Oryzias latipes: one gene and its partner. The protein of the gene in region 2 interacts with the protein of the main gene of each other region in a biochemical or structural test. Links are inferred from orthologs where the notes say so. Each region holds a gene or a part of one and is shown on either strand. Other genes may lie near its edges. The genes, in order: mitogen-activated protein kinase kinase kinase kinase 5 and crkl.

What was found.
Region 1: the proteins of crkl (region 2) and mitogen-activated protein kinase kinase kinase kinase 5 form a complex in vitro, tested with the Homo sapiens proteins (2 studies listed by BioGRID). The link is inferred for Oryzias latipes from reciprocal best matches to the Homo sapiens genes CRKL and MAP4K1.

What each region holds. Positions count from the first base shown.
Region 1 is NC_019871.2:4,809,674-4,826,354, reverse strand, and holds the start of mitogen-activated protein kinase kinase kinase kinase 5, read right to left. Parts: upstream 8,966-16,681; 5' UTR 8,678-8,965; coding exon 8,570-8,677; intron 1-8,569. UniProt on the Homo sapiens protein: Serine/threonine-protein kinase, which plays a role in the response to environmental stress. Appears to act upstream of the JUN N-terminal pathway.
Region 2 is NC_019870.2:17,494,619-17,511,337, reverse strand, and holds the start of crkl (crk-like protein), read right to left. Parts: upstream 8,485-16,719; 5' UTR 7,687-8,484; coding exon 7,376-7,686; intron 5,958-7,375; coding exon 5,483-5,957; intron 95-5,482; coding exon 1-94. UniProt on the Homo sapiens protein: May mediate the transduction of intracellular signals.

The DNA of each region.
Region 1 (16,681 bases), on a different chromosome or scaffold from region 2:
TTGTTTTTGCCTTTCGTCTTTCCAGCCGAAAGTAACTCGGGACCTTGTTGATCTGCTCACTTTGTGAATCCTTTTTCATTCCGTGTGAATTAAATGAGTTTAATAAGAATTTTTAGGCCATATCGCCGAGCCCTACTTTGAGGTGCTTATCTCTTTGTCTTTTTCGATGAACATACTTAGAACACTTATCTTTGCAAAAATAAAATACCAGCCTAAAAGATAAATGAACCAAACTAACTAAAGTACACGGTTTCCTCAAGGTAACCCATGATTGGTGAAAAATGTGAAGTATTCATCCTTAGTTTGAATTTCCCTTCACACTTTTCTTGGACAGACATGAACTTTTTCCCATGTTTCTCTCGTTTAAACTTCCAACCTTCATAGATAAAAAGGGCCAGATTTATACAGTTACAGAATTTGCGATTCTGAACAGGAGACAGGAGAGTAGATTGATTGACAGTAGTTTATAGCCAATCAGGATGCAGAACCACATATGCTGTAAAAAAAAGTATGCAAAATTGCACTAATAAAAATAGGTTAAATTGCAAAAGGTTTACCTGTGTTATAGTGAAAAATCACTGTAATCTCCACCCTATCTTTATCTTGACACATGAAGTAAAGCGATTTGTGTTGTAGATATAAAAGGTGCTAGGAAATAAACCTAATTAATAAAGCTCAAGGGCAGACTCCTTTATAATCTTCAATAGAAAAATCAAAAAGTCTTTAAAGGTTTGCTAAAGGAGGGGCAAAATAGGAATAGTTTCACATCAAAGCCCCACCAGCCACAAACCCATCAGGGTTTTTGCTTTCTGCTCAGTTCATGCACCACAAGAAATTAGGAAGTTAAGTCTTCATAACTGGTTTGGCTAGTAAGAAAATGTTCTTTTCTGGAAATGTCAACGCAAAGACCTCTCCAAAAGATCACGTGGGAGTTGGAACAAATAAGAACAGACAAAAAGAATCTGCCCTGGCTGGTTTTTGAACTGCAAAAATAAAATCTCTCTGCGTGCATCTTTGAAATTCCATCCAAGACACGGACTTGTTTATCTGTGAACTTCATCTCCTTTCTTTAAGAAAAAATTGTTCTACTTATATGTTGTAAAAGGTAGTTTGCTTAAAGTTTTAACTTAAAACCTGACCATGGTGTCCAGAAAGAAGGGTGAAAACTCTTCTACTGCTAGGTTATATTTACTCTGTAAACCCAAAAGGTATCAGATTATGCCCTAAAAAGACAACATCATCTTTTCCGAGATAGGAGACTAAACAATAGAGGGAAAGGTTCCGTTCAAAATAAAATATTTAACACCACCCAACTTCTTCTTCTTATCATTCTAAACATATTCAGGGAATGTACCAAGCCTGACTGAATGAGCATCAGTGCACAGCTAAAATGTGTTCATTAAATGCAATATCACAACCAAAGTCCAGAAATAATTTGATTCAGGATGTAATTTATCAGATTTCCTTCAATGCCAGTGTATTTTTTCAATTTCCAAACCTTTTTTTGGTTAATAACTAAAAGAAGTTTTCACACAACAAAAAAAAATACCTATGAAGCAGTTTTTTACAATAGTTACAAGAAGCAGCATAAAAGGAACGCATTAGTCAATGATTTAAAATTCTATTATGCACTTGTATGGAGTTTAAAAAATTGTTAAGACATGTTAATTCATAAGATGAAATTACTTAAAATCTGCACACATTTAACGAAAATATTGGACAATGCAGAATCTTAAAATCTCAAGCAAAAGTTTCAACATGTTTTTCATTTACTTGTAAAAATATTTCTGTTCTTTTAAGTTTTACTAAACAAATGATACAGCAAAGCGGTTTGCAGAATGGATAAAAAGCAGCGTGTGTGCAGGATTTCTGACCTACAGCTTTTTTTTTTGTTATAAATGTGCCATCCTGGTACTAGATTTGTTTTGCAGGAAAAACATCTTAACAGCAATAACTGTAAGCTCTTAAAGACTTGATCTATTTTCAAAGCGTTTGCTGTGGTCTTTTAGTTATGATTAGGCAGTTTTTAGCCAAAAATCTAAAAACCTGTGTGGCTTTCTAGGACATAGTTTCTGCAGAGCGGCAGTAGCTCAGAAATATACCTCTGAGTTGTGGGTGGCACCGCTTGTGCTGAGCAACACCCTCTCATCTTCCCCTACCTATTGCTGAGAGTTCTCTGTTTACACACTCCCCCTGCTAGCTTACAGCCCCTCACACCCCCAACCTAGCGTTATCGGTGCAACAAAAACGGCGAGCAACATTGGAGCAATCCAGCCGTCCAGTTTTGACCCAGATGCCAGCTCAGACAAGCCCACCAGCATATGTGATGTGTGTCACAAATACAATCTTTTTCAAACTGCATTTTTAAAGCTTCTGCTTTTGAACATTTTAGTGATTTGGGGCACAGCAGAAGGTCTGAGTTTCTCAGGGTCCAAGGTGGTTCATGTGGGACCACGTGTCAGCAACATACTTTGGTGTTAAACCACAAAAAGACTCGAGCAAAAGCAGATCAGCTTTGATGTCTATGGCCCAAGCAACAGGAAGTTAAGTTCAAAGATGTGAGGACAAAGACTGATATGGTCGTACTTCCTGGTTTTCAGGACCCAAACAACTGTGTTCTGGTTGAACTGCCTTACAGCACATTTGCAGAGTCCAGAGAAGAGACCATTAATCTGAATTAACCTGAATAAGTTAGTCTAGGTCTGGTTTAGACAAAATGTGTTTGATTCTGCTATTGTGTTTAAAGGGAAAATCCTTACATTTTATTGGAACTGTAAGAGCTTAAGTCAGAGTTCATGATAACACCCAGATTCCTAATATGATGTGTAGGTTTTAGAGAAACTGAAACCACTAAACCATAGTCGTGTGATGGACGTGAAGATCAGGGCAACTAAATGTTGAAAAGCAACTTGGCATGGAAACTATGTCAGCTGTTTGGATGCCAATCTGCCGTTTAACATCTTAAAATTGCACAAGGTAATTTTAAAATCATATAGATCATTAAGCAGAAAAACTGACATAAATAGGAATGTTTTGTTATCTAAAAAACCACTCCGATGAATTTTGCGTTTTCAACATGTTCTTGTGGCATTTTTCACATGATGCGGGACACATTTATTAAGTAAATTAAGATTACAATTGCATTTCTGAGTATTTCTTTATTCAAACCAGGAGAAGATGAAAAAAAATGCAGTTGGAAAAAGTTTGTATTTGTGACATAGAAAATACAATCGGCGGGCCACAACCATCCTCCTTCACTCCACTCTGATGCAGACACTTGTAGATGACTAGATCCATGTACGACACCATTCTCGTCTGAACTGGCACCTGGTGCATAACCGTACGGCTGGATAGCTCCAATATTGCTCGCTTGTTTATTTGCACTGCTAATGTTAGGTTGAGGGTGTGAGGGGCTGTAAGCTAGCAGGACAGAGCGTACACAGAACAGTGATGGTAAGGGGGCCAGGGTTGCTCTGCGCCAACCTTCCCACCCACAACTCTAGAGAAAATTTCTATCGAACTTCTTGGATTTTAGTATACAGAATTCCCCCCCTTAATCATGGGGTTTAGGGACTCGGAGAACCGGATCGAAGACATGTGAGATATATCAGACTTGGAGCAGAGCAGGGAAACCTTGGCTCGTTTATTTCAGTTTCTACGTCACAACTGTGAGCTTTTTCAAACATCTTTTCGTCTGCACCTGATTCATCCCAATTCGAATAAACAAATACTCAGAAACACTGTCTTAATCTTACATTTTTTATAAACCTCCTCCATCATGAGAGAAATGCTACAAGAACATTTAAAAAAAAAAAACACCAAAAACACAATTTTTATTAGAATGGGTGTGTGATAATCCTTCATATCAAACGCTCACTTTGTAAAATGCTTACCTGGATACATTCAACAGATTACTATCAACACTGAACACAGAAGAAAATTCAAGACGAGAACAATTTAGCACCAAGAAATTCTCCAAATGCTCTAATTTATGGTCAGTTTAAAACTGAAAGAAAAAGAATAACATTCTTTTTAGTCCACTGACAGGAATTTCTGATGTCCAGTAGTTGATTATAAAATCCATGTTTGCTAAAATGCTTGGACAGATGTGGTTAAATATTGGCCACATCATTGTCTGCATCTTCAGTAAATAGACTCAAAATAAGAAAAACAGCAACATTAGTACATCTGCATGTGCCATCTACTTGTTCTCGGTCTCATTTTAGTTGATGGAAATATATGTGGTCTGATGTGACCGCTTTATTAATATCCTCAGGGTGTTTGTAGATCCTGAACAGGGTTTCAAATGCTTTTCTGGAGCTGCCACCAACGGACTGACAGATGACAACAGCCACTACCTAAAAAACCCAAAATAACGTTAACACTGCCCTCAGCAATGCGCATTCAAGCAACCACTTCAGATGAAGTCTATGTAAAGGCGTGTAAAGGTGTGTAAATGCGTGTTTCGGCCATCCATGCTCAAAACTCACATTCACACGCCTAGGGAAGTTTTTATGACTACGCTCACAACCGGTTTTGCTCCACGTGCAAGACGTACAGCTACTGAACGTACGTTAAAAGCTAAACCAGATCAAACTTTGACCAATCATGGACTCGGATTTGTTAGTGAAACGTGTGTAGTGTCTTTTCTAATTCATGGAGGTGCCAACCGTTTGAATATTAATTATAGAGGAGACATTAATAATTGTGTTTTTCCTGCCAATTTGAAATTCTACAACACCAAAGTTTTTCATTTAATGGAATGTAACTTTGAAAGAAAAAGCCTGGAGCAAAATTCACCAGATCTGTACCGCTTTGGCATTTGGCACCATGCCTCTTCTGACTATAGGTGGTGGAGATATGCTAGAAAACAGCCCCTCTCTACTTGTCCACCGTAAACACAATGGGCTAAACGCAGATTCTTGGGTGTCAAATAACCAGTGTATATGTAGCTTCAGAGCTCCAATGTTCAAATAATGGTACAACCAGAGATGTCTTTAGCTGAAGCAGGGTCATCTGACCCACAGTAGTCAGCTTAAGACTTCATAAAGATTTCATGCCATCATGCGATTATAAAATATCACATTATTTCTCAACAATTGTAAATAAATTTGACGAGAAACCATTGATAATATTTAAACACAGAAAAGCAAAATTCTTCTGAAACGCTAACTTGCTTCATGTACAGTTACAGGTCCTTATGGCCCTACATATGGACAAAAATCTTTTAACCAAGACAAAACACCCGCAAACTTCTATGTTCATAAATAATCATTTACAGGATTTGTTTATTCAAATAATTTGTTGTTTTCTGAAGTGTTTTGAGTGTTTTTTAGAAACTGTAGAGAACGTGAAAAAGCTACTTCATGTACAGCTTCAGTTGTTGTTAAAGAGATCAATAACTGCTTTTGCACATACAATTGAACAATATTCTTTCATCGTTCTCTAAATACAATACAATCTTAAGCGTTCTGAGGATTTTAAGTATCAGTATCTGCAAATCATCAGTGGTCTGCTGAGTTATGAGTGGAGTTTGTTACTCATCCTTCAGTAGAAAACATCTGCTGCTTTAATCACTAAAACAAGGTTTAAATGAAAGAGCTGCACTCTAAGGACTGCTGCTGATGTAGAAGTGTGGCATTTAGAGCAGGAACCTTTGCTAAATTTGAGAGAAAAACAACACGTGGCGAGCAGCATGCAGTGCTGTGTGTGGGGGTGCAACTGCATATGCATTGATCAGTGTGCGTGTCTGCACAAGAAGCAAAGGCTACTTTTTACATTCCAGTAAAAACTAAACAATAAAATCCAGTCATGTGTGGACAGGATTGGTCAACTGGGAAACTGCTCTGTATCTCTGAAAAACCATTTCAATCTGAAAGCTCCTGAAAGGTAATTTCATATTTTTAACTTGTTATACAAATTCAAGCTTTTTGTTAAAAAAAATTGAAATGTTTAGGTCTCAACTGGACAAAAATATACTTAAAAGTTATCCCAGAAATTTGCAAAGATGAACTATCAAATGGTATTTGCACATTTTCAGCAGCAGCAGAGAGATGTTGCCTTTACTTTATTGGCTCTTCTCTGTTACCAATGTCAATGTGTCAATATCGGTTCTATTCAACCATCAAACCTTTCTCAAATTCTGAATCTTGTAACCTTTCCTCCAATGAAGACCAGGTTTAAACACAAAGTGGTAGAGTTAATTAAAAAACCCACCCTGATAAAAAATTGTGCTTTTGGTGTTCTTGTAGCATTTTACCCATGATGGAGGACATACTTCTCAAAATTCCATATCTAAGTATTTCTTTATTAAAATCATGGTGAAGGCTAAGTTATGTCGCTTGAAAAAAGATTGTTTTTGTGACCTAGACAGTACACTGGGCAGGCCACAAGCTTTTATGTACGTCTTCTTTTTCCTCTAAACTGCAATCTGGCTCAAAACTGTACAACTGGACTGATCCAATATTGCTCGCAATTTTTGTTGTACTGCTAATGTTAGGTAAATAGAAAGGTCTCATTCATAGGTTACAGGAATGGGGGCAGGGTTGCTCTCCGTCTATGGTCCCGCCAATAACTCTGAGGTGAATTTCAAATTAACTCCTGTTGCTCTGCAGAAACTGTCCTAGAAAACGGAAGAGTTTTTTAAAATGTTGGCTAAAAAATGCATAATCATAATTAAAAGACCACTGAGAACGCTTTGAAAATAGACCAAAAGATGACCGGACTGGGTCTTTAAACTAATTGAAAACAAGACGGTTAGTAGTATTACTCATGGACTTCCTATTCAGGTCCAAAGCAGTGTACAGTCTCAGTCCCATTCAAACATTCACGCACTGATGGCGGCTTCGCTGCCAAGCATTGGCGCCAATCTTCCAGAGGCAATGGAAGACGTGACCAAACTCCAAAAAACAAACTAATGTACGTCATCAAATCACCAGTTTCTTTCCAGATGCTTTACAACAAACAATATGTATGTTAGAAGAAGAAATGTCCAAATAAATCCATAGCCAACAATATTCTGGACACGTCTACGTTTGACTTTCTTTTTCTATACCAAAATGTGTTCAGTTGTACTGGTGAAGCATTATGGAGCACTTTGGCCTGTGAGCGCTTGTATGAGTCTGCTATAGCCTCTGCACATTCATAATAAATAGGAAAAACCTGTTTAACTGCTGACTGCACTGCAAAAACAGGCCCCTAAAAAATAAGTCAAACATTTTTACCCAATTGGCAGATTTTCTATCAATAAAGCACAAAAATCTTAAGAAAAAACATTTTTTAGTCACTGTTTTCTTAAACTATGATTATTTGCTACATAAAAAGATAATTTTTCTTAGACAATCTTTTTTTTAATGTATTTTTACATTTACTTTAAGACTCAGAACAATTTGTTTTTTTTCTTTTTACTTTTTACGAACTTCACAAATAAACAGAGTCAAAACCATCCATCCATTTTCTAAACTCACTTAATCCTTTTAGGGATCATTGAGGTGCTGGAGCCTATCCCAGTACTTGACAAAGGGGAGGTACACCGTGAACACATCGCCAATCCACCGCAGGCAGATTCAAAACCAGCTGACAATATATGGATAACCCAACAAAAATGTTTAGAAGTTGATAGATAAAAAGATTCTTGGACTACAGCAGGGGTGGGCAATTCCAGGCCTCGAGGGCCGGTGTGTCTGCATGATTTCCAGATAGTCTTGCCCTACTCATGGCTGATTACCTGGTTCAGGTGTGTCCATCCAATTAGAACATGCCAGAGCAGGGTATGCTGGAAAACATGCAGGAATGCGGCCCTCAGTGCCCACCTCTGGACTACAGAATGCTTGGTAAGACTGACCCACATTGAGGACATTTTCACAGTTGAAGATAATGGATCTGATTTTTTATAAAGCAACTTTCAACTGGAAGTTTTCGATTTTACGTGTGAAATCTGGATCTATTAACAAGCCAAATGCTTGGTGTGGACCAAGTGGGTCCTAAACAAATACAATCCTTCCCATCTATAGATCAGAACAATTGCTCTACAAACACCCCCTGAGGCCTTACATGAGTGTAACTCTTTCTGGAAGTACAATTTTCCCTGCTTCAACTACAACTTCACTTTTCCACAGAAAAATACAGTTTCACTACCTTCAACAAATCTGACATTTAATAGTAGATTGATGTCTTTTTCGGCAAAGGCAAAAAACTATTTTAAGGCAAAAAAAAGAGATATAAATACTTTCAGTTCATGTTACGAATCACTTCCTCTGACAGAGTAAGCTGCAGTAAAGAAGCAGCTGCAATATGACAATGAAACTAAAACTAATCTCATCCTATTTCATTTCAAATTAGAATAAAACTAAAAGTAGAAGTAGTTTTAGTAGAAAACTAAAAGAAGTAAAAAAAAAAAAGCCAGACTGGAGATTGTATCAGTCTAGAATATTCCCCATTTAAACCATTTTACTGGGTTAAGTCTATACTTAAACACAGCCTTCCCTCCAGCCATAGTTTCTCAGATTATTATCTAATTTACATTTTTGTGTGTGTTGCAAAGACAATAAAAAGCAGCAGGGACTCTGACCTTGTAGACTTCACCATAGGTTCCACCTCCAACTCTTAAAAGGATCTCAAAATCATCTTGAGGGTTCTTGGTGGAGATATCCAGAGCTGCCCTGTGATGGAAATCCATGTTGTTTCTCACTAAAACCCCCCCTTGGGCATGTCAAACAACCCCTCACACGTTCACACACTCCATCTAAGACCGACGACCACTCAGCAGAGGCGAGTTATGAAGAAAGAGCTCCAGGAGCTGCAAAACGAGAGCCCTTATGTTGAGTATGACTGGTGCTTGGCTCAGCTCCAGTCTCGCACGTCTTCCTGGTTCTCTCAGTCACTCTCGCAGATCCTCCCTTACTTCAATCGCACACCTTCCTTTTCTCTCTCTCAGACATATTTTCGCAGCTATTTTGCATAATTGAACTTTGTTTCCTGTTTTGTTTGCATTTAGCACTTCTATAGATCACCAACGCACAGAATACTGCCGTTTGCACAGTCGCATGTTTTGCATTTTGCAGAAGAAAAGTCAGTTGATCTCAAGCTAAACCGACAGCTTCACGCGTACCAGATTTTTGCGTGAGTGAACACGTACGGCAGCCTTTAGGAGAGTCAGTGCTTGCAGATGTCTGACTTGTCACTGTACAACTGCGATTGGGGTTTTTCTGCAGTGGTTTCAGTCTCATCTTTACACCCACTGAAACAACGTGTGTGTGTGTGTGTTGCAGCACTGCAAGAAAAGTCACTCAAGCTTGGAGCTCCCTTTTCGGCTTCCTGTTCATATCCTGTTCATAGGGGGGCACCCATCACATCCTGTTAACAAGCAACAACCAGTTTTTTTTTTTTTTTAATGAGCTATAACTTTTAGACAGGTGCAAATGAAGGTGTTAAATATGGTAAGAATGCCGGTAAGAAAGAAAAGCACCTGTAAAAAGAAGTGCAGCTTTAGTTCAGAGAAATGCTTTAATGCATCATCTGGTTAACAGAAGAATCTGCAGAAAGCTTCATGAGAATTCAGGAAATAGTTGTGCTGTAGTGTGGAAGCTGGAAGTGGTGCACCGACAGAAGCATGTGCAGCTATGCTGCAGACTTTGTAGCCTACAACACGCCTACTGCTGTTGGGGACATCTAATATAAATAAGACCCTAAAAAATATTTTATAAGTAAGTAAGTAAATCAATAAACAAATAAATGAATAAATAAAAACAATAGAACAGAATCATTGCACTGAAGGCCAAGGGTTATATGGCAGTGGTCCCTGACCTCCAAGCATCAGACTGGTACTGGCCCATGGGTCATTTTGCACTGGCCACTGACAAAAAAAAGAATAAATCCTGTATGCTACTTTGAATTATTTTTTTAATTTCTGATTCTGAAGGAAGTTTTATTTTGGAAAACTATCAAATTCTGTCCACCACATCCCTCTACGACTTACTCTTGACCATTGACTGTATATCCTCATGTACAGTCAAAGCACTTGACGCATGTCAAGTTGTTCGCCTTGGTCACGTGTCTTAAATACATCCACTACCTTCTTAAAGCTGCTAATGCTCGTGCCACTAAATGAAAAGGCCATAACTAAAAAAGCTATTAAAAAAAGCAGTTGAGAAAATGGAGTATTTGACCTTTAATAGAGAAATCTGCTATTTACAGTCAAAAACAGGAGTCTTCCTCCGAGTATGGATTTATTTGGACAGTTGTTCCCTTGTACCAAGCACACATTGCATTTATGTGGCCACTGACTGTTACTCATACGCCGATGATAAAGTTTCAAACACATTGGATTTGCCTTCAAAATATTTAAATATACCTGCTTTATGACAGTAGGGTCGTTTTATTTTGCTTTATTTATTCATCACACCTTAAAAGTCGGACACAAATTAAGTTGGCGTCCAGTTGTTATAGCCTCTACTTTGAGGTTTAAGGGAAAGTCTACAGGACATTATAATGGGTTCTACACCAAGTCTTAGTGTACACCAGCTGCAAATATCTTACAGAGAATAAAGATTCAATAAATAAAGTTGCTGATTTGTGGAAACTCGTAAAAGGGACATTTAAGAATTTTAATGAACACAATGAATTAAAATTTATTAAAAAAAAAAAAAAAAGATTAATCTTTTAGTCATGAAAAAAAGCCGAGCCTGTATTGAGTGTCATAACGGCATGCTAGGAAAAAAAATAATAATAATAATTACCTTTAATTGCCTTTACTGAATTTTACAAATCAAAAACAACTTCTACAAATCAACATCTTTGTTTCATCTAATCTTCATCTGTAAAGTATCTGCAGACAGTTTCAAATTGTCTTTTTAAACTAAATTTAATGTTATAGCATTTTAATTTGAAAAATATATATTTCAGAAACAAGGAACTTAAAAATGATTAAATGCCAACTTTGACCTTGTTCGGACTAATCCGTGAAAATATTTTCTGATAATAACCGGTACGTGGGCTAATAAAGGTTGGGTACCACTGATATAAAGTACTTTACAAACCGCACCAAAGTTTTAACCTCAACTGAAAGAAATTTCTTTTCATGAGACACAGCTCAGCTGTCAACCAACGGCCTCCTCCACCTAAATGTGGTAGACTCAGTAAACAGGTCTTATGACCACAAATAACAGCCTCCACCTTAACCCAGACGTAAATCTATTATGCTACCGGTTATTGTTCCTTTGATTCCAAAAGGGAAACTGAAACACAGCAATCAGGAATAGACACAAAAACAAAAAGAAACAACAACAAAAAAGCTGAAAATGCATATAAAATTGACACTTTTTATTCATCATAAACAACTTTTTTATATTTTTTATAAAAGTCTTGTCCTGCTTCATAGCAGACTGTACCACATTTAGATAGGACAGCATAAGTCATCAACAAAGTACCAATCAGTGCATTACAACAACTTTAAATGTTTATTATTAGGGGTGCAATGTAACACAAAACTCACGGTTCAGATAGTGTTACTGTTTTAGGCTACGTTCACACTGCAGGCTGAAACGACCCAATTCCGATTTTTTTTGCCCCTATGCAACCCGATTCCGATCTTTTTATGACAGTCTGAACGACACAGATCCGATCTTTTCAATTACTACCCAGGCCACTTGGGTATGCCGTCCTGAATCCGAAACGTATCCGATCTTTTCAATTGCGACCGCCGTCTGACCGGCCAGGCGGCTTGATTCCGAACCATAGGTCATCGATACGCAACAAACGTCATCATTGTGCGTTGAAGTAGGCGGGAACGAAACATAAACAACAACCATGGCAGACGATGCTGCTGAGACCAGTCGGTGGAAGGGATGCGATGTCCCCGATTGGATAAATCTTTGGGGTGACAGCTCTATTCAGGCCAAACTCCAGGGCTCTTATCGCAACCGGGCGGTTTTTGGAAAAATTTCCAGCTAAATCTGGCCGAGCGTGGTGTTGAACATTTCCCGCGATTACTTTTTTCTTTTTCTTTCTCCCCTTTCCGACCGTGGTCAGAAGCGCGGGGGACCCAAGGCGGATCCTCTTCCTCCTCCCTGTTCTGACCCTTAAATTCTCCAGGATTCTCCAGAGCGGGTTAATAAAGAATCAATAGCATTTATTCTGGGGGAAACCTTCTTCTATTACCGTTCTACTTCCTCCGTAACACACAACCTGAATGCGCGTCCACACTGCTCCCCCCCATTCTCCATCGCTGCACACGCTCTTCTCCTGTCTCTACGGCGCGTGCGGCCCGAACACATCCTCATTCTACTACAGTGGGTACAGACGATTTGCAAAAGAGCTCCACTGTTGACGACACTGTTGTTGACATCCATTGTTCACGTTTGCTCCGCAAACAACGAGTGACGTCGTTCACCGTTGAGTACTCTTCTGCGCATGCGGGTCAGTTTTGGGTCGTGTCACGGTCACACTGGAGAGCAAAAAAGTTCGGATTTACTTGGAAATGTGAACGGTCTTGCAAAAAATTCGGATTTTTTCAAAAAATCCGAATTGAGCATTAAGCCCTGCAGTGTGAACGTAGCCTTAGAGTCATGGTTCGGATCATTTTTCGGTTCAGTAAAAAGTGTGTGTGGGGGGGGGGGAGACAAGATAACAAGATAAAAGCTTAAAGGTTTTTTAGAAAAGCTTAACAGCATTCATTTATCAACCCTTGTGCTATCTTAGATGACCCCACCCTTACATTGACGTGTTCTCCCTACCATGATAAAGGTGGATAAAGGTGGAAAGATTTCATGTAATCCATGGACACCAGTGAAGATAACAAATCATTGAAGAAAAAAGGTTCAGCGCACTGTCTAGTGGGTCTAGATGACCCAACTCCCAATGTTAAAGTGCCTAGGATAGCACAAGGGTTACAACATATACAAAGTACTTTAAAACAAACTCACACATCATGTCAAAAATGTGCTCACTGAGGCCTATATATAAAAACAAAACACTGGTAGCATCTCTGAACTCAAGATATTCCTATATTACTCAAGACTGCAATATAAACAACAGACAGCAGCGGATTTCTCCTACCACAATGCCACTGTTCTAATGATCTGTCCTACCTTGTGAGATTTTCCTACCCATAGCACAAAATTATAGATATAGCTTTTTAAATGTCCTATGTTATCAGATAATCCTACCTACTGTAGGTCTATAAGGACAAACAAGCAGTTTTGATGTTAGGTCCTAAACACAGCAGGGTAGGACAGATCCACAGGGGGAGTAGGAAAGAATTGCGAGGGAAGCAGGTAAGCCTCGTGGGAAAGCAGCACAGACTGACAGGGGAGTAGGACAGTTTCAAGGGTTAAAATGTATAAGAAGTATGGTGTTGTGTCATTAATGAGCTATATGGAGATAATCCAGAAGATCTGCAGCTGATCAATTCAATTCAATTCAATTTTATTTGTATAGCCCAAAATCACAACAACAGTCGTCTCGATGGGCTTCGAAGTGGAACACGAACTCAAAAGGATCGTGAATACAAAGAGTCCAATAGTAAAATACTAAAATGAACTAACAAACTGACTAAGCTATACTGGCATCCCTGCCCTTAGACGCCCCTTCCCGGAAAGGAAAAACTCCCAAAAAAACGGATTCCGGAAAAACGAAGAAACCTCAGGGGTGCCCACATGAAGGAGGGATCCTCCCCCAGGACGGACAGGCGATTTGCCAGAAATCAAAGAGAAGAATTAACTTATCTAAATCTTCAACTACATATGTAAAAGTCCAGCAGACGAGCTTCATCCAGCCGTGGTTGGGGGGACAGTCAAAGGCGCGAGTCGAGCCAGAGACAGGAACCACAGCCAGGTGTAGGAGCAGGAGCAGAGACGAGGTACTCGGTCAGGTACAGAGCAGAGACGAGCCAGAGATGAGCCAGAGGCAGGATCCACAGCCAGGTGTAGGAGCAGGAGCAGAGACGAGGTACTCGGTCAGGCACAGAGCAGAGACGAGCCAGAGATGAGCCAGAGGCAGGATCCACAGCCAGGTGTAGGAGCGCGAGCAAAGGCGAGGTAAACTGTCAGGAACTGGAGCACGGATGAACCAACTGGAGTCTGGAAGCACTCCCACTCCCCAGGAGGGGAGAAGAAAAGAGGGACAATACATGAATCGCACTGTACCAAACAGAGGCATGGAGAACTAAATGATAAATTATGGTCAAGAATAGAGGAGAGGAAGGGTAGAAGTAGAAAAGAAAAGAGGACAGAACCCCAGTGCACCATAGTTACCCCAGCTTCAACTTCTAGCAGCCTTTTAAAAGAAATAGTTATTAAGTTTAATTTAAACAAATTAACATTAAGTTAAATAATCTCTGAATACTAAGTAGTCTGACAATAAGCCTGTCCAAAGAGGAATGTTTTCAGTCTAGCTTTGAATGTAGAAACTGAGTCGGCCTCTCTTATATGAGCTGGGAGTTTATTCCATAAGACAGGGGCTTGGTGGCTAAACGCTCTACCTCCAACCGTACTTTTACTAATTCTAGGAACCACAAGCAGTCCTGCATTTTGCGAACGAAGTGTTCTTATTGGATAGTAAGGGACTATGAGATCCTTAATATAGGACGGGGCCATTCCATGTAAGGCCTTATAGGTTAACAGGAGGATCTTGAACTTGATTCTAGAATCAACTGGGAGCTAATGGAGCGAAACTAACACAGGAGTGATGTGATCTCTTCTGCTTGTTCCAGCTAACAATCTAGCTGCTGCGTTCTGAACAAGCTGGAGACCTTTTAAGGAACTCTTAGGACACGCTGCTAACAAGGAGTTACAGTAATCCAGCCTCGACGTAACAAATGCATGGAGTTTTTCAGCATCACTCTTAGAAAGTATATTTCTGATCTTAGCAATATTCCGCAGGTGAAAAAAGGCAGTTCTACACGCCTGAGATATGTGAGCCTTAAATGATAAATCCTGGTCAAATAAAACCCCAAGGTTTCTAACAGTGGAATTAGGGGCTATGCTTATGCCATCCAAGGAGACTATCTGAGCAGACAGAGCATCTCTGAGGTTTTTAGGACCAAGTATAATGACCTCAGTTTTTTCTGGGTTCAAGAGGAGGTAATTAATTGTCATCCAGGTCTTGATGTCACTGATGCAGGCGTTCACTTTCTCTATCTGGTCATTCTGATCAGTGCCTACACAGTGCCTCTGTCTTTGCGGTAAACGTTTCAAACTCCGCAAGGTCTTTCGATTGAGAAACACTCCAACACATTTAAACAAATGTTGGAGACATTTAGCATTTCTCATTCCATTTTGAGTGCCCATCACCCTGACTCACAATGTGTCTTCAGGGCTCCAGACTAACTTTTTTCATTAGGAGCACTGTGGCCCCCAACTGAAAATTTTAGGGGCACAACCAGAAAATATAGGGGCGCATAACCGTAAATCAACATGCTGACCAAATATACTAATTTCCACTGTATTACTAATAAATATTTTAATAATAGATGCAGAAATTACAATTTGCTGTTTCAAATTCAGTGTCACATTTTATTCTGCACTTTTGAAGATGCAACAACAAGGTAAACTGACAGCAAAAATACTAAACAAAATACCATACATTCAGAATAAAAAAAGGTGCTTAGTAACAAAGTGATTACCGTAGCAACCTTTCGGTCATTTCACAGTTACAAACAATACTTAAATGTATGTAAACATTAGGGGCACTTGGCAATAACATTCCACTAGAACATGTAGGTCTAAACCAGTGTTTTTCAACCTTTTTTGAGCCACGGCACACTTTAACCCTGACAAAAATCCTGCGGCACACCAGCATCCAAAAAAAAAGAAAAGCAGAAATTCATGGTCTGTTATGATCGACAAAAATACCAGCTAAAGACGAGCTTTAGCTGGTATTTTTGTTAGAACTGAGCGACTTTATCAGCAGAATTAAGAACAAGGAAGTGAAGACTTTAACCACTTCTGATTGGTCAGACTGATGACATGTGATTAAGTCTTCAAGAATGATTGGCGGAGACAGTTAAAGGGGCGGGACTTTTCCTTACACAGTTATAGCTGCAGCTAAATCGCGGTACCGTGATTCTTATCAAAATGTTTTTAATAGAATTAAATAAAAGTAATTTTAAGATCTTTTATATTCCTAACTACTCAGTGTTTTATCAAGGCCTGTTTGGATGAACACAGAGCTGATATCCTGGAGATGGAAAATGTTTTTAGATCAGTGAATGAGGGCAATTTCTCCACGGCGCACTTGACCATCTCCCACGGCACACTAGTGTGCCGCGGCACACTGGTTGAAAAACACTGGTCTAAACAACTTGAGCCTTTACTCACTCCCCCTTAGAGCAGATCCTCCTGTGTTCCACTAGGAGGCTCAGAAGGCCAGCTCTTGTAATTTGGCCTCCTAGACCTTTTACCCTGACTGAACCATGTTTGCACAGCTTCCTTGGCCTCAACTCTTGTTTTATTCAGTCTTCTATATCTGCTGTTTTCTCAGTTAAACATCCTTATTAAAAAGTTTCGGTTACAATGTTGAGTTATAACTATTAACCCAAAAGATGACTCCAATTCTACAGTTCTGTAACCTCTATCAATGGGATCTTCGGAACACAGCTTTTCTTGTCTTTTTCTTACTGCTGGACACTTGGCAGCATTTCCTCCCAAACAGCTGAGACCCTCAGTGTGGATGAAGATGATTGTCA
Region 2 (16,719 bases):
CATGAGTGAAGGGAAAGTGCCCCCTGCGTCCGTTCACCTCGCCCTCCCACTGACCGCTGATGTTCATCCGTAGAACTTTGACCATGTCGCCGACCTGTGAGGAGAGAGAAGCAACCAATGACTACGCTGCAAGACCTCCACGTCCACCTCAGTTGGGCTTGATCACATGACATAAGTACAAAAGAAGCGCTTTAAAAGTGTTATCAGCCGATATCCCAAAAGACAGCATAACCAGCAAGAAATTGTTACTTTAAATGTTTACATACATGCAAGACAATCTCATGGCAGCTTGAAGTTTCTAACAAATCAAATAAATCCCATTTGACCAATCGGATGAACCCGCACGGCGTTGATCTTTAGACATATTCCTTTAAACCGGGGGGGGGGGTCCAAACTCATTTTCACCGAGGGCCACGTCAGCAGAGTGGCTGTCCTCAAAGGGCCAGATATGACTTATACATGTAACTAAATGTAATGTAACTTAATGTCAAATGACTCATTTGTTTATTATAACTTTTTAAAGTGACAATTACAGTTGCATAGAAAACATGTTTGCTTGTTACTCTAACATAAATCCTTTTACATTTGATTCTGTCAGGTTAGGTTATATGGACAGTGTTTAAGCCTTAATGTATAGTTACCCAATCTGATATTTCAAGTTCAATTCCCCCTAGATATGAATAAATGCACTCCAATTTCTATTTATTATTCTACGAAATTAAAAACTTTTATGCTCTCGCGGGCCACATAAAATGACATGGAGGGCCACATTTGGCCCCCAGGCCTTGAGTTTGACACATGTGCTTTAGTTTTGGGTGTGACGGTAACCGTATCACCGCGGTGATGAGATGATCGCTGCGTTGATGACTCATCACTGCACGTTCCTCTTTTTTAAATTCTTTTTTGAAAGTTCTGCATATGGTGCGTGATTTGAACTATGATAAACACATTCACACATTCATCTTTGCTAATTATTAACTTTTTCTGCGAGTTCTGTGTTCAAACTTCAAGGTCTTCTGGGGGAATTTCCATTGTATTCATTTCCATTACAACTTGCATTCTTGAGTGTGCGACGCGGCCGCCCGCCAGAGGATTTTGTGTTTTTTGGGGGGGCAAGAGTCCCAACACCATGACTCGTGCTGCTCATCACCGCGGTGATCAAAAATCCCAAACCGTCACAGCTCTAGCTTTAGGGGGTGGCCACAGCCAATCAGTTTTCTCTACTTAGCACAGGTGGTTTGTCAAAGAGTTTGCCCTTCCAGACACAACCCTGTATTTTATCTGGGCTGGGGACAGGCACAGGGAGACCGTTGACCAATCGAATGGAGCTTTATTGTGTTCATTTTTCTCACAACATGCAGCCCTGGTGACAACATTAAAGGGAAACTGAAAGTTTGAACACATCCCCTCTTTAGCTTTAGCATCATTTAGCTACACCCGGTCCCACAGTCCAAATTATGAACATAGGAGCATAGAAATAAAAGGACAGGTTAACAACAAAGACATAAAGCTGGAATAAGAAGAATGAAACTAAAGCTTTAGCCTGAAAAACTGTCAAGCTACGCTCACACTGCCCTCTGCAACAAACATTCAAGTGGCCTCATCCAATGAAAAGTCAATGGAAATGTGCGTAAATCCACATCTGGGCTTCCGTGAGCAAAAATCACGCATAGCTACGCAATATTTTTGAGACCGCTTTCAGGCTCCACATACGTGCGGGCGGCCATTGAAGGTAAAACAACGTCGAACTTCGGCCAATCAGGGATTCGGATTTGGCAGTGACGTATTGGATGGCGTCCCGTTTAAGTCAAGGAAGTGCCAAACTGTTCATGCCCAACAAACCTCTTCCAACTTTAGGTTGCGGATAAGTGCTAGTAAACAGTTGAAAAAGTAGCCCCTCCCTGCTTGTCAAGTGTGAATGCCGTGGGTTAAAAGCATGTCACATGTCCGTGGCATCAAACGACAAAAACCAAACAAAAAAATCCATCCAATCATCTTACTTCAAAGAAACGAAGTTCAGTTCTACATGCTTTGTGCAGTTTCCCCTAACGTGAGCAACAAGACAATAATGACACAAAAAAAAATGTTATTAGGCTGCGAGCTATGACTTCTTCCCAAAACAGAGGCTGATGGGAGGAAAGACATGATGCAACAGAATAAGGTATGTGCTGTCAGAACTAAACAAGTAGGAGATAAATGAGTCAAACTGAAAGGAAAACACAGAAAAGCTTCATGTTCGGATTCTCGTTAGCTGCTGTGCAGCTTAAGGCAAAAATAACAGAGGCTGGAGAGTTTGTATACAGCAGAGTGAATAAAAGGGGTTGGGTCAGCACATGTGACCCACTTCCAAAGAGATGGCGACAGATTTAAGGTATATTCTACACACACAAGTTTCATGTGTTAACCATCTGAGGAAAAAATAGTCAAAACGGCAACATTTAAAAACATCAGTGGAGATTTAGTTTCATTACTATTCTATTTTGCATTGTCATTTCAATAAAGTTCCTTAGAAAAATCTAAATGTAAAGCAGCCTAGTTTTTTGAAACACTATCTTTTTGTTGTTGTTGCTAAAACCCAAACTGATAAAACTCACAACTGTAGCTAATAAACTTAACCCAAACCTTTAGCTCATAATTAATTGCCTTCATTAAGACACAGGACTTAAAAACTTCATTCAAGATCATGTATTACCAATGCTGATAAAATAGACAAGCCAGGGGGTGACGAAAACATCCCCTCCCCCAACAAGGTAAGAAAATAGGGCAAAAATGTCACAGTTGGGGCAAAGGAAGCCCCAGTTTACAGTAGAAAAAAAAATGTACAAGTTTACACTTTATTCATTTCAAATTTTTTTTTTTTTTTTAAATAGTGTAATCTAGGAATGGAATACTTTGTTGCTCCTGAAAAAAAAGCTTCCTTGATGGAGATAGAAATTGACGCAAACTGTTGATTTCCTTCCACACTCATTTCCAGCTTCCTTCTGGGAGCTCTCACACACTCGCTGCCCTGTTTGGTTCCCCGTCTTCATGTGTTTTTCATCAACTGACCTAACATTGGTGCCGACTGTGTTGCTGCCTCTATTTTGCATTTGTCTATTTATAAGAGCTGACACCAATACACAAGCTGCCACCACTGGTTCAAAACTTCTCTCTACTCCTCCTTTCTTATTGCTTCCAAAAATATAATGATAAAAAGAGCAAATAGCTGAAGCTTTTTAGCACACAAAAAGCCCTAAAATAAACCCAAAAAAGAGCCATTTTTATCAAAGTTTTTTAAAGTGGGTAAGACGTTTGTTAGTTTGGGTAAAATTATAGATGGAGAATAAAATCGAAATTCACCCCAAAAAAAACTGTTTTTTTGTTAAAAGGGCTTTTCTACAGAGTTGAATTGTCACTTGTGCATCACCCTGCCTTCAGTTTTAGCATGGTTGTCGTTTATTAAGCCTAGTAAACGACTTGGAGAGTGGGACCTAAAAGTCTCACCCTCCAAATTAAAGAGGGAGACTTTGACCTTTGACGTGAGGGGCAAGACGGGCAGGAGCCAGAGGGCAGAAATGGGACAGGCCTATATCAAGTGCTCCATCTTTTACAAACCTTTAGGCAACAATCTGTGTCCATGTCATGACCATATTTCAAACTAGTCTATGAAGGACTTTCTGAACTATTCTATACAACCATGGATTTGGTTCTGTTTCTGCAGGTCAACGACATTGAGCATCTTTACATGCTGAATAAATTATCAGACAATGGTTATTTGACCTTAAACAGTTACGATTAGAAAATTCTGGCCAAAATGTTATAGTACAATATGAAAAGTGTATATGTGGAAAGTAACAGAACTACAAAACAGGCAACACATTTTTGCTGTGAAGCATTTGGACTTCATAAGGGGAAAAAATGGTTGTTTCTCTGGGAAATATTAGGAATTTTTCCTTCATTTCAATGGCGTGTGCAATTCTGAAATCACATAAGCATATGTTCATGTAAGAAAATCCATTTCTGAGAGAGAATTCTACAAGTCTGACTTATGCCATTTCCACGATTACATCAAAAATCGTGTTAATCGCGTAAATAGTTCAAGAGTTACGATGGTCAAAAGAATGTCAACACTGGACCACTCCAGGATTTCAAAGTCCTCCCAGGTAGCCTCCGCCATGCTCCATTTTCACACAACATTTTACCATCAAAGCAATTTTAATATAAAGTTAAATAAATGTTCAGAAAGTGACTAAATCAACCGCAGGCACCATCTTATTTCTTATTCTATCAGAGAATTCTAAAGAAAACCACATGAAGATCCAACCAATCAGAAAGCTTCCAAGCTTCTGTTGTAATTCTCACCACATTATTTCTGCGGTAAACAGAACAACAGGTCGACAGCAGGTCATGAGTTAATAGCCAACGGTGATACAAACAGGAGTTTCACACAACAAGAGGTGTAGAGCATAAAATAGATCTCCTTTACAGTTTTATTGGCTATAAACAAAGATATTGATTGTAACTATGTGGTGGGAGTTTTCTGCATGTTACATAAACAACAGTTACAAAATAGTTCCATTGAGAAGGCTGGAGACGTTATCAGAACGTGTTTAATCTACTGCTTGTGTCTTTATTCAGTACTTCCAGTTTCGGATTTTTATTTGTTCATGCTTCCATTAAAAATACAGTGTTCAAAATCAACATGATTATTAAATGCTGACACATTTTAATATGAGCAATAGGCTAAATTAACATTTAGCTAACTTCCGTGTTGGACTATTTTCCCCCTCCGAGAAATCACCACTGATCTATTTCCTAAGTAGTTTTTCAAATGTTTATCACTTTCTGCTAAGTGAGACAAAAATCTACATCATAAAACAGTTGAAACTGAATATATTCTACTAGAAGTGTGGTCCAGGACTGTGTGTTAATACTGAGAAACACTTTAGATAAGCTCCAAGCTCATCTACAACTTAACTTTTTGACAGGTCTACACAGTAGCTCCCTTTTTTAAGATGCAGACCAAAATACCCCAAGATAACCAAAGCCTTTGCCACAACTTCAACTTTTGTTCCTGTTCAGAGAAAACAATCGAAGACATAAGCATGTTACACCTGACCTTCAAATCTAGCAAAACCACTGATGTGATAGACATGAATAGACAACAGCTGTCTCAGGGTGTCCATATTTTCAGACTACCCTCATCAGAAAAGAAATTTGTATACAACCACACACACTTCTTGAATAAATCTTCACACAATGACCCGATAAACCCATCATTTTAACTCAATGGTGGTCCTGTCTATTTGAACGTGATTTTTTGCTGTTGTCAATCCTAAAAAAGTGACTGGCTTCATGACAAACAGATGAATTCGGGGTGTATTTTCCCACAAGTCTCTTTAAATCTGAAAATTTTAAAAAACTCTCCCCAAGTAAATTTTTGGTGATGCAAAAGGACAGAGTATTTACATATAGAAAGACAGATAAGAAGGATTGAACTTACCTCTAGAGCAAGGGCAGTTTTGTCGTAGGCACAGGGCACACGCTTCTGAATGGCCTTTGCCAACACAGGACCATTCTGCATGGAGGGCAACGGGGCAATGACTGCTCCGGGTGTGCCGGGGGGCATGGGGGGAGAGGTCTGGGGCTGGGCATAGGCGTTAACAAGGGAGTGGGATGGCTCCGGGATACCGTAGCTGTTGGAGTTGCGCGAGCCGTGGGAAGGCTGGCCAGGATGGGGGGAGGGTCGTACCAATTTCTCCACGTAGGGCACGGGGATCATCCCGACGCGTCCATCTTTATTTTTGGCACTCCACCATTGTTCCTCTGGCTTTTCCAAAATGATAAGGATCTCCCCTTTCTTGAATGGAAGGTCCTCCGCGTCACTACCAGTGAAGTCATATAGTGTCCGCACGTACTCAAAGTTATCCTCTGGACCAATCATAGACTGGACCGGACCACCAATAGTGCTTGGGTACCTGAAAAGATATGACCCAACTGAAATGTTTTGCGTAGAAGAGTGTATCAATGGTTCCTTGTTAACCCTTTAATAGACATGAAACAACACATGCTCTTCAAACTACTGTAACTCTTGGACCATTTACCCAAGTAACAAAATTCCAACAGATTCTACAGTTGAGAAAACTGGCTAAAAATGCACTGATGCTTGCACTATACATGCATCAGTTTGTAGTGAAGTGTGCAGATAATAAGTGCATTATTGTTATCTTTTCCATTAGTATGATCTCCTTTAGAGATTAAACGTTAGTTCTTGGTCACGTACTATGTTAAAAAGTGCGACTTAAACTCCAGTGTGACTAATAGATGATTTCCCCCCTTCCTTATGATGTATTGTTTAGCTGCTGCAACTTATAGTTCAGAACATATGTTAATTGCCTAAACGGTTGAAGAGTTACTGTAATTCAAGACCATCAACACAGCAGCTAAAGTTACGGTGTCAAAGGGTTAAGAAAGGTATCATCTGCATGAAGTGCACTAATGCCTTGGTGTGTAAGAGTGTGTAAAAACACTAGAATACACACGCAAATGTACTATACCCTACAGGGGTGTAACGATCAATTGCCTTAAATGATTTCCAGATCGATTTATCTGTTGTTAATAGAATTGATCTATACCATTATTAAATTATTTCAAAATGACCTTCAAATCGATACAGGAAAATACCATTTGGATTGTTTATTTTTCTATAACGTAAAAACGACCTTGAGAGAGGACAACAAACGTGATAGCGGCAAAATAAATAAATAAATAAAATAAAAAAAGATCAGTCCATCGTTCCAGTTCAATTTAAGGAACTACTATGAATTTAGCTAAGACGTCACCATTCAGTGTGGTAGAATGTTCTAAAAATGGCCTTTGTATTATTCTTATGTGGAAAAACAAAAGTGGGCTGAACTTTGTTAGACTAAAATACATTTGCCATTAATTGTTGTTTACTTGTTTGTTTGTTTGTACACATATTTAATTTACACCTGATTATCTTCCAAGAAAGACAGGGAATCTGGAAGATTTCACCTGCACTGTTGAGTATCCAAGTATTTATCTCTGAGTCGAACTGGTTGAAATTTTGGCGAAATATGTCATGGTGGATTGATTTCAGGTCAGTGGATGATCGGATCATTCAAAATGAATCAATATCGACTATGAATCGGGTTGGCAACTATGAATTATGATACAAATCGAACTGTTACACCCCCTAATGTCACACACAGTTGTGTACAGATCAGGCTAGTTATTCATGAACATCTTAGCTAATGTTAAAACAAACTCAACAGGAACTGTCCAATAACATGCTAATTCAACGACATATTTGCTGAGGAATAACAGAACAGAAAGTGGTCGTCTACCGGGATGCTGGAAGACGTCACGATCGTACCTGGATGCTGGTTCTATTAGCGTTGTTGTGTCCAGGTAATGGATTTTGTAGAACTCCAGAAGGGCTGGGAGGTTTTCGAACTCTTGATCTCCTATCTTGAACCTCTTACTGGGCAAAGAGTTGATGATATAGTGAGATACTTTGGAGTTTTCGGACACCGACAGCACGTAGTCCCCGGGACAGGTGGACGAGTCTCGCACCAGAAACATGCCGTGTCTCTGCCCCTGTAACCTGTTCTGCGCCTCCTGTCGCGACACTGGTCCGAAATACCAGGCCGAGCGATCAGACGAGTCAAATCGGGACGCGGACATTTTAAAAAAAATCTTTAAAAAATAAGTTAATATAAAGAAGAAAATGAGAACTATTGAATAAGTTAGATTCAAACGGGCCTATCGCATCCAGCTGCAGTACTTGGCAGATGCGGGGTAGGGCGTTCGTCGCCCGAGGACCCGATTAAAACAAATAAACAAAAGATCAACCTGACGTTTTCAGCGACAGGCTGCGACCGACCTGCTGATCCAGCCCGGGAGCATAATGTGACGAGCAGCTAACGGCCCCGAAACGGACGAACATCGACGGAAACTGAAGCAACAAATGATCAATAAAGCTTCCTCTCGTTGTTCCGCCTTCCGCGAAAACTCACAATTATTTAGCTTCAGTTCAGTCAGTGTCAGTTACGAGAACGGAAAGGGTGGCCTCAGGCGCGTTCCATCTCCATGTTTGCAACTAAAAACAAAAATTGTGACAGCGTAGAGAAAGAAAATACCGACTCTGTATCCTCTTGGTGTCACAAAAAGGCGGACGTCACGGAATTGGGGTGTTTAACTCCCCTTTCTCGGGTCGGAGTAGACTTTTGAGGGGGGGAAAAATGGCGGCTCGCAACACGTCTTCACACCAAAAAATGATATGACGGCCGCCGCGTGTCTGCTGCGCTCCAGTTCTCGCGTGCATTCCTCGAGTGCCCGCGAGAGATCCAGGCGTGCCGGTTCCGTGCGATATCCGTTCTCTAATTTCAGCGGGTCCCGCTTGTTTCAGCCAGCAGAAAGCGCAAGCAGGACACGGGAAAAATGGCGACGGGAGGGCTGGTCCCGCTTTCTATCTGCACGTCACGGAGGGGAGCAGGAGAGGAAGGGGTGGGGCCGTGGGCGGAGGAAAAGGTGGGCGAGTGATGACGTTTCTGGCGGGCCCACTTTGATGTGTCACTGTTGTCATTTCATGTCCCTTGCTTTTATTATTGTGAGTAAAAAAAAAGTGTGTTCATTAATTTGTTTCGGATGCCCTTGTCTATATATTCTGTAAAACTGTTCATTTTCAATAAAGTTTTCTTTTTTAATGTGCCGGTTTAAGTTTTCTTTTCTTTTTCTTCCTATTCCATTTTAGACCTGACAAAACACCAACCAAAAGATGTGCGGCCAAATTTTCAATGATCGCACGGCTAATAAACAAAAGGGAATCGTGTGAAGCAGGAGTTCCTCCATTTAACCACCATGAGCAGGGCCAGAGCTACAGGGGGGCAGAAGGGGGCAGTTGCCCCCAACCAATTTTTGAAACAGTATTATTATTTTCACAAAGATTAAGAAATCATTAATGCAAGCTTTGTTAGTAATGGCACCTCAGCAAAAAAAAAAAATGCAGTGTTGTTATTAATAACAATAATAAAACTATGAAACATGGTTAACCCTTTCATTTGTAATGGCCTTCCTCTCTGCTTATCACATTTGCCACCCAATTAAAGTCTACTGCCCCCCCATATGAAATGTTTTAAATCCACCACTGATCATAGACTAGGCTACTATTCTGAAGTAAATAAGAGAGAAAAAATAACTTAATAAAACCAAACTACTCAAATATTGTGTGAGAAATGTCACAGTATACCAGGGGTCTGCAACCTTTGGGCTGATTTTTCTCTGACGTAAACCTGGCAGGAGCTTCAGTAGAAAAGTACATCAGTGCTTTGTGTTTGTTACTGTTATTTTTATGCTAAATAGAAGTGAACCATTGTTTTTGTTGGTTTTAGCCTGAATTCATCCATCCATGCATTTCCTAAACCTGCTGAATCCCTTTCAGGTTCAGGGAGTTGCTGAATTTGTCAGAGATTTTAAAGCAAAAATTTTTAGCTACACTTTCAAAACTCCTTATATCTTAGTGCTTAGATATTTTTTATGGCTGATACCTCTGCAGATGTGTAGCTTTATAATAGACTGAGATATAGACTCGCTAAAATGAAAAAGCCCGTTTTCTCTGTTAAGTATCTCTAAAGGAGAAAAAAGCATGTTTCTCTTATTTCATTTCCTGATGTTTCTTAACTTCCCCTTTCACTCGATCTTAATGTATATATGGTCTGGAATTGGACGGTGACACACTAATAGTAAACTGCTACTTGACTCAATAAGAAATACAACGGAAGGGAAAAAAAAGAGTTTTTAAAATGCAAAAGGCTGTGCCACATAAAAATCCTCCCTGACAAAACACAATAGTGGATTCATTTGACAGGCAAAACTCTGCAGCAGGGCTGCTACTTCTGCTCTGTGATGAAAGTAAAACACACAAAGAGGTAGCTCTGTGCTTGTGGTTTCAGCGGCTATGCCTTGTGAGGCTACAGATCAAGACAGTGAACCTCTCATCAGAGCGCCACTGCCAGAATACAAACGCTGGTCTGACCAACCGATTCATGCCAGTTCCCAGATTTCAGGGAAAATAAGCAACGAGGCAACTAATCTGTCACGGCGAAGGCAAGAAAAACAACTTAGAAACTGGCTGGTATTTTTTTAGAAACATCCTGATGCAGGACCTTTGGGCAAACCCCAGTGCTAGTTCCTTTTTTTGATGCTTCAGATCTTTTAGTTTCATTTAAATACCTAGTTGTTGTTTTTTTAATCATAAATCACCTAAATTTAAAAAGAAAAGCAAATCTGGTTGGCATTTAAAAAAAGGATTGAAACCTAGGATGTGTATTGATTATGGCCTATTATAGATTTGAGCAGTGTTTACTTTAGAAACATCTCCACCTAGTGGACGCTCTAAGAATGACATAAACACAAAATGAAAATTATTTTTAAGGTTGTTTGTGAATGCAGATATTTTGACCAAAGTAAGGAAAACTATGTGTGTTGGAAAATTAACAAAAAAAAAACATCTAAGTGGGACAAAAATATACCAAAAAAAGCAACATTCAACCAAAACGTGTTTTATTTTTAATATGTGGAGCAAAAAAGCAAAAAAAAATTTTTTAAAAACTTTTAGAAACACCTATTTTTATTGTATATTTTTGAACTCGTTCTAAAATGTGTTATATTTTGTGTTACACACCTTATGCTCACTTTGAACACACTTGTATTCATTAGTTTTACCAACAATTATGAAAGGAACAAACACTTGCTTGCTGTGGTTTGTAACCAAACTGTTTGTCTTTAGAGATCACACACTTTTCTCTGAAATGTTCAATCCCATTAGTTTAAAGCATAATGAACAATTAACAGCAACCTATTAGCTGCCTGGTTATTATGAGTTTCACATCCACTCTAGTTTTGTACAAAGAATAGAAAGGTAAGACAGCGTGTGAAGCGACTTTTTCTAACTTTTTGTACCATAGAATGAAGACACCACTGCTTTTTCTTTTCTTAAACTCCACTTTTTGCAGACTACTCACAAAACACACTCAGATTTAATCATTGCAATTTTAGATTAACAACCTAAAAAGGCAAACAGAGAGTGAACAAAGAATTGCAGTACAGTAACTATGCTTGTTTTATTCATTTGACCGAAAACCTTTGTGGCTTTTAAGGAGTTGGAAGGACATGGAAAACATTTTTGGCTACTATTTAGGCGTCAGGAATTCAGGTCCTAAAAAAGAAAAAGAGAAAACCTAAACCTGTGTAAACTTCATCTTAGACCTGGGGTCTGCAGCCTTTAACAGAAAAAAAAGGGTTTGTTTTCCACTAGTCTTCTTTTACCCTTTAGGACAATTTGAAACTGGTTTGCATTCATTTTGTGTGTTATTTTTTAAAATAATATATATGAATTATACTTCTGTTTGACATGAATAAAAACAGAAATATACAAAGCAACTGTGTTTTTCTGTGTAAATTGGGTTTACTTTTGATGGTATTTTATATTTATTCTTATTTTTACATTTCTATTTTCATCAGCCAGAGGGCCACAATAAACCAATTATAAAAGAAAAATGATGTGATGTGTTTTTTGTCTTTGTTACGACTGCGGCCTGTCTCCACTGCAGCTCGACTGCCCACCAAGGGGCCCTGAAGTCCCAGCATTTGGAATTGGGTTGTTTTAACTCTTGTGTTATCTTAGATGACCCCACCCTTACATTGACGTGTTCTCCCTACCATGACAAAGGTGGATAAAGGTGGAAAGATTTCATGTAATCCATGGACACCAGTGAAGATCACAAATCATTGAAGAAAAAAGGTTCAGAGCACTGTCTAGTGGGTCTAGATGGCCCAACTCCCAATGGTAAAGTGCCTATGATAGCACAAGGGTTAAAGACTGGTGCTCTACACAGCTGTGGCCTTAGGGTGCAGAAGTGGATTGGACATGTTTACCAGCTTACACCCTGACATGTCAAAGCTAGTACAGCTGATCTACGAATTCCATAAATGGAAGGAGCAGATCACGTCGCTTCCTACTGATTTGTCTGGGTGAGACAACCCAAAATAGAAAAAAAAACAGAAAACATTTCTGTGGTGTAAATGCTTCTTTAATTAGCTTTAAAGCTTCTGAAAAGAGCGCCGCGTTGGTTTGGAAAGTGTCAGGACAGCGTTCTTTTCAGGCGATCTCTGTGCAAACCCTGCGCCTTCCTCTGTCTATCGCTGATGTTGGAGCCCAGGCTCCGCTTGAAGGCTGGTAAAACCAGCCTCGTTGGAAAGGGTTCCGACCTGAGATATAAATAAATAAATAAATAAATAAAAGAAAGGTCTGATATGAACCACAATGGAACAGCCTGCTCCACACAGATGAAGGATAAAAAAAGCAGTTTCAATCAGAGCAGCACTCACATTTTCCCTGGAAAAAAACTGATGACCATGTTTGGGTAATTTCCTCTCCTCAAAAGAGTTACTGCAACATAGAAGGTTAAATATTTGATGACTTCACACTCCTGGAGTGTGGGAGCGTTTGCGCGGTGAGAGAGACTGCGGCGGATTTGCAGAGGCTGTAGGGAAGCGATGAGGAGCCCCCTTCACGTGTCCGCCGCCGTCTGGCCCAGGGGATCCCAAAACTCTGCGGCGTTTTCAAGAGCAAAAAATATCAGTGATCATAGCAGAACTTTCCTTATGAACTTCAGTAAGTCTTCTGTCCAACAGACTGATTTTACTTTCTACATGAGGTTATGAATCTTCTGACACACAAGGTGTATATTTATATAAACCCCTCTTGTGATTTAGGCTAAACTTTATTTCTATTAATTATATTTGTATCCGTTTTTTGTTGGACCGGACAGAAAAGAAGAAGAGCAGAGAAAACAGAGGGATGTCAGAGGGGGGGAGGGGGTAAGGGCACAAAAGAAAGGGAGAAAAAAGAGGGGAGTTACAGAAATAGGAGGACGATTACAGAAAAAAGAGGAGCAGAATCATACAGCAATGAAGTTTAGATTCATTATTGTCTGGTGTAAATGTTTTTCTAAAAGGGGCGGGGCCTGTCCACACACCAAAACGTTACGATACCACCACAGTTCACACGCATACAAACCGACACATGTAAAGCATTTCATTCAGTCACGCAAACTATTTGTGCAAAGGTGAGCTGACACCTGTGCTCGACTGAGTGTTTATGTTCTGCTGGGGTGGACCCCAGGCACGAGCCAGGAACGCCCCCAAGGGAGACCCACCCCACGCTCCAGGTAGCCACCCGCCCTGCGGGAGGTTCAGTAGAGAGCAAGCCCAAGAGGAGGAAGCCCAAATAAAGTGGGGGTCCCCCGAAGAGCGTCGTAAAAATGGCCCGACCAGGTTCACCCACTGAAATTCAGGAGAGGCCCAGCGCTCGAGGGCAAGGACCAGAACCAGCACCAGAGGGACACGGAGACCTCCACTCAGGGATGAGAGGGCTGCCGAGCCCAGGAAGCCAGCACCCAAGTGTGTTACACATGTATCACACGAGGAAGAGGAACTTCTAACATTTTTAGTGTCTATTCCAGGATGTTTTAATATTCTGCTGGGTTGCATAACATTTTAACCCTTGTTATGACCCCACCCTTACATTGACGTGTTCTCCCTACCATGACAAAGGTGGATAAAGGTAGAAAGATTTCATGTAATCCATGGACACAAGTGAAGATTACAAATCATTAAAGAAAAAAGGTTCAGGGCACTGTCTAGTGGGTCTAGATGACCCAACTCCCAACGTTCAAGTGCCTAGGATGGCACAAGGGTTAAAGTGCTGCTCTGATCATCTTTTGATCTATTGTAAAAGTGTTCCCAGTGGTCTTTTATGCTGTTTTTAGCCAAAATTAAAAATCCTGTTTCATATTCTAGTCCATAGTTTCTGCAGAGCAACAGGAGTTCAATAGAAATTCACTTCTGAAGTTGTAAGCAAGACTGCATCCATTTCCCATCATCCTTTTTACTACACGCTCTGCTGTTTACACACGCTAGCGGTGCGGGCAGTCCAGATACTTCCTGGAAGGGGCGGGTCCTCACTTTGGGACATCACAACGTGAGGATCCACTTGTTTTCGTGGGTTGGGAGGGGCTGGTGCTCAGAGTGCAAGTTTTTTAAAGAAATACTCAGAAATGCATGAATGGATGAAGATAGTGCTTTGGGGTTGTTTATAATGAACATTATAACACACTTACAAGCTCAGCAAGTTGACTTTACACAATTAGGCCCTTTAACATTTTTCAAAGTCCCAACACTACAATCACGCTGCGTTCAATTTGATCTCACTTTATGGAGGAACATTGAGCCCTCACTTTATGTCAGGCTGCTTTGGACTCCATGTGTCACAGGGAAAAACACGACGAACTGTTCTCTTCCATCTTCCATTTGCTCGTGTTTTAGCCCATCGTGTCGTATTTGTGTTTTTGCTAACACTTTTACCTCTTTCTGTCTAAATTTTGTCTTTTGACAAAGATTTGTGAAACCTTGAAATAATACATCTCTCTGTTCTATTATATTTGCTGTATGTTTACATAAAGATTTGGGGATTTTGTTTTTGTCATTTCAATGAGGGAATTTGCCTAAAGATGAAACCCTTCAAACACAAACAAATTCTCTAATATTTATAATAAGACTAGCCAGTTAGCTTGTCTTTTAGTCTGGATCAAGAGAGATTAGATAAAGGTTTACAATGTTAAATTAAATGTTGTGACGAGTGTTATAATACTAAGAAAGTGTTTACATGCTGGAATAATCTAAATAAATCATCTTTTTCCATAAATCTTATCCAGAGTTTGACTTTATCAGCAGTTTTTGACTTCGATTGAAATGAGATCTAAACACAGACTTAAGTGCAGCTACATTGACATGTATAAATCCGTTTCACACTTTATGAATATGTCTCCTAAAACTTAGGATGCAATCATGCATTAACTTAAATATGAGATAAAGCTGCTGTTTTAATTTTATTTTAATTGTTTCAGGTTTAAAACAATCCATTCTTATGGTGAAAATGAAGGAAACACAAAAAAAACTCTGACTTTTTTATAAGTAGCTCCAAATGACAAATATTTGCCTTTTTTTTACAAATTTTTTTGTTATATCAATAACATTATATTTTGACTCATTTATTTAGTAGAATATGGAAAGCAAAACGCACCTTAAATCGTTTTCCTGAGAGGGGCGTGGCTCCAGGGCTCGCTCCTGCATGGATCCACCTGTGTGAGCTTCACCTCCCTTTGCAGGAGCTTTCATGACTTGTTTGGCTTCCAGGCCTAAAAGAGACAAAATGTAAAGAGACACATGTTGATCAATTCGCCTATTGCTAGTTGTGTGTCTAAATCCTTCTTGGCAGGGCAGACTGCAACTTTCCTTTTCCTCTCAGCTTTGCAGGCTCCATTATCCGTCTGTAGAGCAACTCTACAACATTCAGAAGAGGAGACTTTTCAGCATCATGCAGACTCCACCTCATTAACACACACTCAGATTTGGAACATTATTTTTGAATAAACTTGAATTAGAAACTATTTTTCCCCATAGCTTTATGGATTTTTTTATGTAGATTTTAGCCTTTTCTTTGTTCAAAAGAGGCAGGTTATTGTTGAAAAGTATTAATTTGTAAATTTCAGGTCAAGACACAGATTTGTTTTAAAAAGTATTTTACTTTGAAAGAACCAACAGGTTTTCTTAATCACTTAATTTTCCAATGTTGTGAATTCCAATGCATCTGAAAGTCAAAGTTCAAGCCTGCTGCTTTGCACACCTTTGTTCTCCCTTCGGAGGTGGTCTATCTCTGCGTGGAGCTTCTGCAGGGTCTCCTTGTGTTGCTCCTGCAGGAACTGGATGCTCCTCTCCAGTGACGTCACGCGGCGGTCGGCGTGGCCGGTCTCCTCTGGCGCCGCTCTCATCCCGGCGTCGGTTAACGGCATAACGGGCAGAGGCTTGAAATGCTGCTGGCTCACTAAAACACGTGGAAACGGGAACTGGCGCAGCGGCGGGAAGCTGGTCCTTGACATCCCGAAAGCCTCTGGAACGTACAGTTTCTTTTTTTCTTTTTTTAACCTCAAGCTAGCTGTTTTAAAAAATTCACATTATGTTAATCAACCTTAACGTTTTAATAAAAATATGAATGAATAAATTAATTTTGTTCTAACTTTAAGTTATTTGTTCTGCTTGAAAGCATCAAACAAACCAATAATGACTCTCAAACTCCTCAGATAAATATAATGTGTTGCCATGGCGACGTTTCTGGTCAGGTGTGCGGGGAGTTTCCCCTGTCGTATTGACAAGTCTCACAGCCAATCACAGTAAAGAAGAACAGGACAGGATAGTGGGGCAAGATGGATGGATAAATTAATTAATTGATCTAAAAGAAAATTCTTGCACGTTTCCATCTTGTTTTTACGATATCTAATAGTGTACATATATCCATTTTTTGATTCTCCAAACCTTCCATTTACCCTCTTTATACCACCAAAGGAAACAAGAGATTTGCTCATTTCTTCTTACTGTTTTTTTCCAACCATGTAAAGTTCCATCAGTGACATCTTGTAAACTTTTTTAATCACATGTAAACCTTTGCTTTATTTTAAACCCAACCCGTTCCATAAATCCACACCACAAATTGACAAGCTCATTTTTGTTTTTTTTAATACAAATGCTGGCTTTAAACAAAATGAGTGCTGTTTTAACCCTTGTGCTATCCTAGGCACTTTACCATTGGGAGATGGGTCA